Linked DNA regions of Arabidopsis thaliana. The protein of the gene in region 2 interacts with the protein of the main gene of each other region in a biochemical or structural test. Each region holds a gene or a part of one and is shown on either strand. Other genes may lie near its edges.

The links.
Region 1: the proteins of NTRC (region 2) and THX form a complex in vitro, tested with the Arabidopsis thaliana proteins (one study listed by BioGRID).

What each region holds. Positions count from the first base shown.
Region 1 is NC_003070.9:18,637,795-18,641,394, forward strand, and holds THX (thioredoxin X), read right to left. Parts: upstream 1,743-3,600; 5' UTR 1,671-1,742; coding exon 1,329-1,670; intron 1,019-1,328; coding exon 812-1,018; 3' UTR 590-811; downstream 1-589. Other genes in the region: STP9 (sugar transporter 9), read left to right, coding at 1-316; AT1G50325 (Plant invertase/pectin methylesterase inhibitor superfamily protein), read right to left, coding at 2,092-2,685. UniProt on the Arabidopsis thaliana protein: Probable thiol-disulfide oxidoreductase that may participate in various redox reactions.
Region 2 is NC_003071.7:17,375,600-17,381,231, forward strand, and holds NTRC (NADPH-dependent thioredoxin reductase C), read right to left. Parts: upstream 3,461-5,632; 5' UTR 3,430-3,460; coding exon 3,192-3,429; intron 3,100-3,191; coding exon 2,892-3,099; intron 2,803-2,891; coding exon 2,697-2,802; intron 2,597-2,696; coding exon 2,331-2,596; intron 1,967-2,330; coding exon 1,687-1,966; intron 1,582-1,686; coding exon 1,474-1,581; intron 1,398-1,473; coding exon 1,311-1,397; intron 1,222-1,310; coding exon 1,117-1,221; intron 1,021-1,116; coding exon 890-1,020; intron 811-889; coding exon 750-810; 3' UTR 579-749; downstream 1-578. Other genes in the region: AT2G41670 (P-loop containing nucleoside triphosphate hydrolases superfamily protein), read left to right, coding at 1-217, 300-578. UniProt on the Arabidopsis thaliana protein: Thioredoxin reductase (TR) that exhibits both TR and thioredoxin (Trx) activities. Contains a C-terminal functional Trx domain.

The DNA.
Region 1 (3,600 bases), on a different chromosome or scaffold from region 2:
ACCAAGTGAGATCTGTCCATTGGAAATCAGACCAGCGGGACAAGCCATCAACGTCTCTGTCAACATGTTCTTCACTTTCCTCATTGGACAGTTTTTCCTCACGATGCTTTGCCACATGAAGTTTGGTCTCTTCTACTTCTTTGGAGGAATGGTTGCAGTCATGACCGTCTTCATCTACTTCTTGTTGCCGGAGACAAAAGGGGTTCCAATTGAAGAAATGGGAAGAGTATGGAAGCAACATCCGTTCTGGAAACGTTACATGCCAGATGATGCTGTTATTGGAGGAGGTGAAGAAAACTACGTCAAGGAGGTTTGAAGAGCCAAGAAAGTGAAATGTTTCAAAGTTCTAGGCATTGGTTTTGCTTAAGCACGGGTTTTTGGTTGCTTTTTCAAGGGAAAATAAGGCAGCAAGATGTGAGAATCTGCAGCCGAGACGAAAAGAAGAAGAAGAATGGAAGTTGTTGAAAAAATCTTAAATGTTGAATTCTTTAACCTGATTCATTCCAATAAAATCCAAGCAGAATTTGTTTCTTGGCATCCAGTTGCATTTGATTTTCTTTTCTTTTTACCAACAAATGAGATTATCTGTAAGAAATGCAAAAACCTAACTAGATTTGTTGCAAGCATAAGCAAATAAGCCTAAATACATATTTCCCTGATAAGAGAACAACTCTTTTCTATTCGTAAAATTTGTTGCAAGATATACACATCAAATGAGAAACCGGGGATGAAGATCATCACAATTGAAGAGATTTGATTACATTAAAAAAACAGTGTTGAGACAGAAGAATACCGGTGGGGAGAGAGACGATTAAGCAACAGATATTGAGTTCAAGAGACCATCAATGTACTCCTTAAGCTTGGCCTTTGTAATAGCACCTTCCCTTCTGCTCCCTGGAACTTCCTTCCCGTCCTTGAAGAGAATGAAATGCGGTAAACCATAAACCTTGAACTCCGCTATTAACTTTGGATTAGCGTCGTGATCAATCTTTACAATCGTCAATTTGTCACCATATTCCTGAGAAACAAAGGAAACATTTTGAGTTTAAATAACCAAGACAACTAAAAACACTCAGAACTGAATTTATTCTCTAAGCACTTGCAAAAGGAAGCTCAACTCTAAACAGTAGTCACTAACTGACATTTTTAGTAGTTGTAGAGCTAATGGTATATGATTAACAATAGTTTCTCATACATAAAATCTCAAATCCCAAGTTTGTACCACCAAATCATGCGTGAAAATCTCTGACGATCTCATTCAATTTCAAACTCTCACGATTCTCCAGCAAGAACTGATGATTACAAAAGAGAGATTAAATGTATCAAACCTGAGATAAGGCTTCCATAGCTGGATAGATCAATTTGCAGGGACCGCACCAAGTAGCGACGAATTCAACCAAAACCGGCTGGGCTGATTCGAGAACCGTACTCGAAAACTCACTCTCTCCAATCTCTTTGATTCCGCCGCATCTTATCACCGAACTAGAGCTTTTTCTGGTTCTTCTAGCACCGGAGCTTAACGAAAGCAGGTGGCGGTTAGCCGCGACGGAGGTGACCTGGACTGAGCTCAGAGGTTTGACGGAAACGGAGGTTGCCGGAGAACATGAACGAACCGGAGGAGTGAGATATGATCGCATAAGAATCGTCGAACTGGAGACGATAGAGTCCATGGCTTCTTCTTCCACGTTCTCCTAATCTTCTCTGTGTTTGACTCATATTCAGAAGAACACGTTTGTGTGGCATAGGAAGGAAAGCTGGTGATGACTTTTCTCAAGGTCCACTACTTTTTTATTCTTTTACTTTTGCCCCGTACTTTGAGAAAACCATTTTAAGCTCCTTACTAATTGGACTAATTGGGGCTAGGCCCATAGTTGAAAATAGTCCTCGCCGGAGTTGCGTAATTTTTCACAGGTGAACGATGACTTTTTCAAATACGAAAGCCGGTCCAATCCGATCTATCAAACAAGCTTTTTCGTGATTTGGTATGCTCTTGTGGTGGATTTCGATTTTTCTTAACACTAAAACAATTAATTATCGGTGTAAATCGGTAATGGCAACATCATACCAAACAACATTATGATTATTAATTTATTATTGTAGATTTGATACTGATTCCTTACATGAAGTTTCTTCTTTTCTTAAAAAACATTCCACAATTACAAAAATAATGTCGGATACATTTTCGACGATAGAAACCCTTTTCAAGAGCTTTGGAATAGGCTTGATGACACTTGACAGCTCGCTTTCACATTCCATCGCGAATTGAGACATAGCATCAACATTCCTGTTTAAAGTGTCATAGTCATTGGTTGCCAAAGCTTTAAGTGCGGTTTCAAGAGGATTGATAAGATTAAAAAGATGTAAACATAGCTCATAAGAACCCTTAGAACTGGGATCGGTTGTGCTGTTTGTGAGTGACTGGAAATGCTTTATTAGATCAAAGGTGTTTTGAAAATCATAATTGATCAAAAATTTGGCGAGATCATAAGTATCCAATGTTGCAACTTGAGTGGATGATTTCATGAACTCATAGCAAAATGACGCATTGACTGCTCTGCGTGCGCACATGCCACATATTTCATCTGTTGTAACCTTCGTATTAAATCTTGCATATGATGAGACAACAAAAAGAAGTAAAACTACTATATGAACCAATAAAAAGTTGTTCTTGACATATGCAACCATTTTTGTTTTTCAATCTTTAAGAACTTATGTGAGATTATTATAGGGTGCAAACATATCTTTAAATTTAAAACTAACAGATTTTGTTTCATTTTTGCTGTAAATGCTGCAGATTATGTACCATGGAAAAAGATTTGAATTTAAATCCAAAAATATGACTATGATTCTCCTATTTTTGTTTGATTTTTTTCCTCATTGTTTTTTTTATTTTATTTTTGGACAATGTTTGTTTTCATTCCATAATGTAGAAGCCAAATACAAAGATAAAGGGAAAAAGTTCCAAAGTTTAAAGCACAACAATAAGGGGCATACTCCAAAAGTTACCAGAAAAATGATAAAAAGATAGATAGGGCTAATCGACAAAGGGTCCTTGAGAGTTTTGAGCCAAAAGCAAAGATGCTTATGGTACTTGTGAGATCAAAGTTTATCGACGACTCTTTCAAGAGCGATTCAAAGGAAAAACAAATTGTCTCTGTCAAAAGACGAAGTGGCGTTAATGAAGGGGTCAAAGACATGATTCTCGCCGGCACGAGGAGAGCTACATGAAGTAGAGCTTTGACAAAGGTTTGGGTAGTGGTGATGGTGCTCTGGTGCTTGGATTTATTTGCTAGAATTGATGCCGAATGAAAGTTGAGGTTAGGCAAACAATAGCAAACATGAAGTGAGGTGTATGACTTGAAGACGTTAAGCGAGCATGATGAGGGGTGGTCCTTTGACAAGCTTCCCAAGCCACCATAAAAACTCTCGCATGAAGGTTCAACAGCATTAGACCAAAGTCTTTCAAGCAAAGAAAGTCATACCACAACATATTATATGAAGCTAAAACCAAGGTTCGTAAAAAAAGAGTATAAGGTTGTAACATAATAGGTGGATCCTCTCTCACATGGAGTATTATACCATGAAAATTAAGAATTTCAC
Region 2 (5,632 bases):
GTCCGTTAAAGATTCAGTAGTGGGTGAAGAGCGGATTGCACAATACTTTCTAGCTATTCTAAACATTCGAGGGACTCCTCTTCATTGGAAGTACTTAGTTGAGGGAATAAACGAAGGGCCTCATGCAGACTGCATCGATAAGCCAAGCTATAACTTAAAGGATCTTCGACACCAGAGAACCAAACAACCAGATTCATCTGCTCTGCACTATGTCGGGGTTAGCATAATAACCTTATATCTCTACCTTGCTTTCCTTCTGAAATTGTCCTGACCAATGAAAGGTTCCCTGTCATCTACAGGATATGATTTCAGAAGTGCAACGATCACTGTATATAACACTCTCAGAATTTGATGGGGACACGGAGGATGAGAATGATTTAGAATGTTTGATAGAGCAACAGTTTGAAGTTCTACAAAAGGCATTGAAGATTCCTCACAAAGCATCCGAAGCAAGGTTAATGGTCTCCAAGAAATTTCTTACTTTGTTTAGGACAGGTAGACTTGGTCCCTTTATCCTTGACGATGTCCCTGAAACTGAAACTGACCACCCCAATTCAAAACGGGTAGTTGTTTTGTAAAATCTTAAAGCAAATTGTACCACATTATGCGTGCAGCTTAAGATGATGATTCTATTTGTTTACATTTGAGATTCAATGGCGTTGCTCCAGTAACTCCAAAGTATTTGAATGAACAAAATTGAATCATGATAAGATTTGGCATCTGCCAGAAACAATATCTATCTGGTGTCCTCATTTATTGGCCTCAATGAATTCTCGGTACTCTTTCTTCATCTTCACACCCGATATAGTCCTACACAGACTCGGAATCTTTAGCCAAACCTGAACACAATAATCTATGCAATTTTAAAACTGAGAGAACGTTTCCTAACCTGAGCATTTCCTTGTTCTTGAAGAACTGCACACATGGGGTTCCCATAATTCCAGCTGCTTCAGCAATTTCTTGATCTTCCTCGATGTCAATCTCAACAAAATGCACATCATGGTTATACTCATCGACCACCTGAAACAAAATGAAGGAGAAGTGAACAAATGGTCAAGTAAATCAGTCCAAAAAGATCTCTTCCGATGAGTTTCATTTCGACTAATAAAGGAATACCTTGTTCAAAATAGGCTTCAGAGTCCTACAGGGGCCACATGTTGGTGAAGTGTATAGTACCAATATAACTCTTGGACTCTCATGGTATAGTTTTCTAAGAGCATACTGAAAGCAGGGGAAAAAACATAAGGAGAAAGATGTGAGGCAGAGAAAATGCTTGTAGGTAACAAGTTAAGGTTCATATGTTAACAAACCTGTCCCTTGTGCTTTGTAAGAGTGATGTCAAACTTTTCTTGGACATCCCGTTGTGTGAATTCTTTCTTGGCCTCTTCAGTTTGAGGCTGTAACGTGAACATGAAAGAGAGTAAGCCTTGTGACGTGTGCTTAAGAGATAAGATATTTCTGAATATTTCCTACCTGGTGAAATTCAACAAGAAGATTGTTACTTGTGAGGTATCTCTCGGCTGACAAAGCAGCTATGCATCCTGATCCAGCAGCAGTTACAGCTTGTCTCCATTCGTGGTCCTAGAGTGACAAATAGGAGAATATAGCAAACACAATTATCGAACCAATATGACTTAAAAGAGTTAATACCAACACCGAAAAATTGCTAAAAGTTCCGAAGAATACCTGCACATCTCCTGCAGCAAATACACCTTCAACTGATGTATTTGATGTTCCTTCCCGAACCAAGACGTACCCGGAGCTGTCGAGTTCGACTTGGCCTTCCAATAACTGACTGTTTGGCGAATGCCCTATTCCATAAAACAATCCTTTTGCCTCCAGCTCAGTTTCTTCACCCGTATCAAGTCTTCTGAGTAGAATGCCAGACATCTGTCCCTTGGTGTTGCTCAATACGTCCACGGTTTCCGTGTTGTAATGCACTGTGATGTTTGGATTGTTGATCACTCTGAAACATTCGCCATAACCAACCTGTTAAAAAAACACTCAGGGTGTTGAAAAGACTCAACTTACGTTGTGCTCATTAGTCTATAATTCCGATAGCCAGCAAAAAAAAAAAGCACTCTACTGGTTGGTTATAAATTTACATGCAACGGAAATCATAACCAAAGGCTTTCCCAGATATATCCAATGGATTTGCGAGGGAACAGGGGATAGCAGTCAATACATGCAACAAAGAACGCTCAACATAGCTATGACAAAACACATTTCCTAGTTTGGACATAGCATTTATCTAGTTTTAACTGTTTATCTTCAGAAATCAAAGAAGAGGAGTAGAATATAAGGCAGACGTGATGAATATAAGAACTCACCTATCTTGCATAGCCTTGGAAGCTCTCAACTGATCTCTGCGAACAAGCAAATGAACATGACGGGCATATTTCGTGAGATACAAGGCTTCCTCTGTAGCCGTATCTCCTCCTCCAACCACGGCAAGTACTTGCCCCTTAAATAAAGGCGAAGCTCCATCACAGATAGCACAAGCACTTATCCCCCTACTCCAGAATTCTTCCTCTCGAGGTAACCTTAACCTCCTTGCTGTAGCGCCAGTGGCATATATAATACTATGGCACTTGACCTATAAAAAATGGAAACATCAGAAGAGAGCTGAAGCCAAAAAAAAAAAACTATTTAGAATTTGAAAAAGAAATAGTGAGAAAACAAAGAAAGATAATCACCTTACGTTCACTAGTTTGCACAGTAAAAGGAGCAGTTGTGACACTAAGAGATTCAACATCTTCTGGATACAACTCTGCTCCCCACCTCTCTGCTTGCTTTCTCATTCTACAATTTTCACACAATAAATAATTGCATCAGAAACATATAAGAAACGCCACAAACTAACAAAAGAATCAGACTATGTTATAGCTCACTTCTCCATTAAATCGGGACCCGTGATACCGTCTGGGAATCCCGGAAAATTCTCAACTTCAGTAGTTGTCATCAACTGTCCACCGGGAACTCCGCCCATCTGATACCCTTCAAAAACCACCGGCTTCAAATTGGCGCGCGCTGCATATATCGCCGCCGTATAACCGGCGGGACCGGAGCCTATAATCACTACATTCTCGATAATCTCGCCTGCAATTAATTATTAAAAAACCAACACAGAGCTCGATTACTTACACTGCCAAAAACCTTAAGAAAGAAGCAAAGAGGAACTCCTCAAGTACCTCCTGAAGAAGAAGAAGACGGAGAATTGGCGGTGGCGGAGACTCTGAGGCGGAGGGAATCAGAAGAGCGAGTTCGGGTTGGTTGACGGAGGAGATAGGAGCCGCCGTGACGTGTGGTAGTAGTAGTAGTGAGAAAGAAGAGATGAGGAGGAGGAGAAAGAGCGGATGAGGCGGCGGAGACACGGTGAGGCGATGAGACGGAGGCAATACCGATGCCTATCTTGGGAGACGCAGCCATATTTTTTTTGATTGCCTTACCTTTACCAGAGACCATACAATTGTCTCTTTGGCTTTGCAGTTAAAAAAAAACATCCCGATTTTCTGTTGGCGACTGTGCCTCACGCGCCTCAGCATTATCTCTTTGCTTCCAAGTCCACAGGCTTAGATGATTTTCAGCCGTTGGATATATGTGATGAAGCGACTGAACGGTGGAGATGTGTTTTGACTGATTTTACTTCGTCTTTTCAACGGAGGGATAAGCCAATCGCTTTTTTTTTAAGTGGGAAAGATCGCCAAGAGTTTAAGTGGACGGACGACGCTTTTTATATTGGGCCATAAATGGGCCTGTTTTGGTACTGAATATTTAGTCACGACGAAGATTCTTAAACCCACCGGAAAATGGGCTAATCTGTGTGCGGATTGCTTCGCCAAAAAGTTAGTACTAATAATTTATAAAGCATAACTAGCTAAATGCGAAGACTATATAGTTTACTTAGTTCTGAAGAGGTTGAAGTGGAAATGAAATGAACTAGGAGTTGGTGAGGGAAGGTGACAGACTATTTTTTCTTAAGTCAAAAAGTTAAGCTGACCAAAAAAGAGCAGCCCAATGAAAGCAAGGATCTTTATCTTTAGTCTAGTGTCTGAATTCCATGCACTTCCAATGTTTTAGTCAACAAAATGTACTTACATTTGATGACTTGATGTTGTATAGATTCGTTAGGAAGCCACATCACTAAACGTTAAGCATAACTTTATGGTTAAAAAAAAACCCCCCCACCGTGTTCTTACTTGTCATCCAAATTCGATCTGCCATTTGAAGTTTCCTAAGCTGTTCTTGATGACTATTCTTAAATTCGATGTTTATATCTTACCATCTAAATTAAGCCTTACAAGAGCTACATATCCAAGTAGTATATGCTGGAGTAGTTTTGTGATCCCTTAATCTTATTGTTCAACAAATAATTTCAACAGGACATATATATGGATCACTACTGTTAAAACGATATAGTAGAGCTTAAGCGTTAGGATTTGTATTATTAGTTGTCTCTCTCTTTTACAGACGCGTGGAAGGTACGCGCCGTCATAGGAACATTGTCGGTAATCCCCTTCAAACACCAGTAGTCAGTAGATCGATGACTTGAATTACATCACTGTCCCCTACTTTGACCAATAGAGATCTAAAGGTTTCCTTTCTTGCATTATTGTGCTAAAACCGACATTTACTTAAGTTACTTGATTATGTCTTGGAAAAAAAAAAAGATTTTAACTTTGGGAACTTTTATTCAACTGAAATTTTAAAGAATTATTTAATTTGGAATTCCTTCTATAAATTTACTGGCTTTTACCGTTATACGTTACCATAAACTTATATATATGATCAAATTCGACCGTGATGAATGATCACTTTTTTAACTTTCCATTCAGATCAACTGAACCCCCTTACTTTTTCTATATATACTCTTTTAAGCACTTGTTTATATATTATCAACAAATTAAGGTGTCGAAAGTAACATACAATTAGACAAAGCATGTATAGTCAAAAAGATAGATAGTCATCAATTTTGAAAAACGAGCAATTTACATGATCCTACAAAACAACAAAACTAACTATATGAAATATCAAGTTTATAATCATTTTTAAAAATACCATTACAAAAGATTTGTACTTTGAATATAATTTAACATGAAATTTAGAAAACGATCTGTTTAAGAATATAACTTCTGCTATGTGGTATTTTAACTGGTACTTTATAGAGAAAAAAAGATTGGTAATTAATGTGATATTTTTGCAATCCATATTATATATTCGAGAGATTTTACTAATGATAGTACTTGATTAATCATTAGAGAAAACTAAATCTTACAAATATAGGTAGACATGATGAATAATATGCATGATTTGCGTTTCGTAAATTGATAGTACCACCTCACCTAAAGGGGGTCCAAACGAGTTGCTTCATATCACAATATCCAATTTTACCAACATACATTAATATATGTGTATTCACATATATACCTCGTGATTAATATTTTTTTTAAAATCATTTTTCGTTTGTTTCCTATACGTCTAATCAAACACACACGTTACAACTAAAATTATATTGACAATATAGCTCGGTTGGTAAAAGCAACGACTACTGCAGTTTCCCTGAAAAACTTAAGACCAGTACTAAATATCAACTATACAAATTAAGTTGATATCAGTTTTTTTGGGGGTAAAG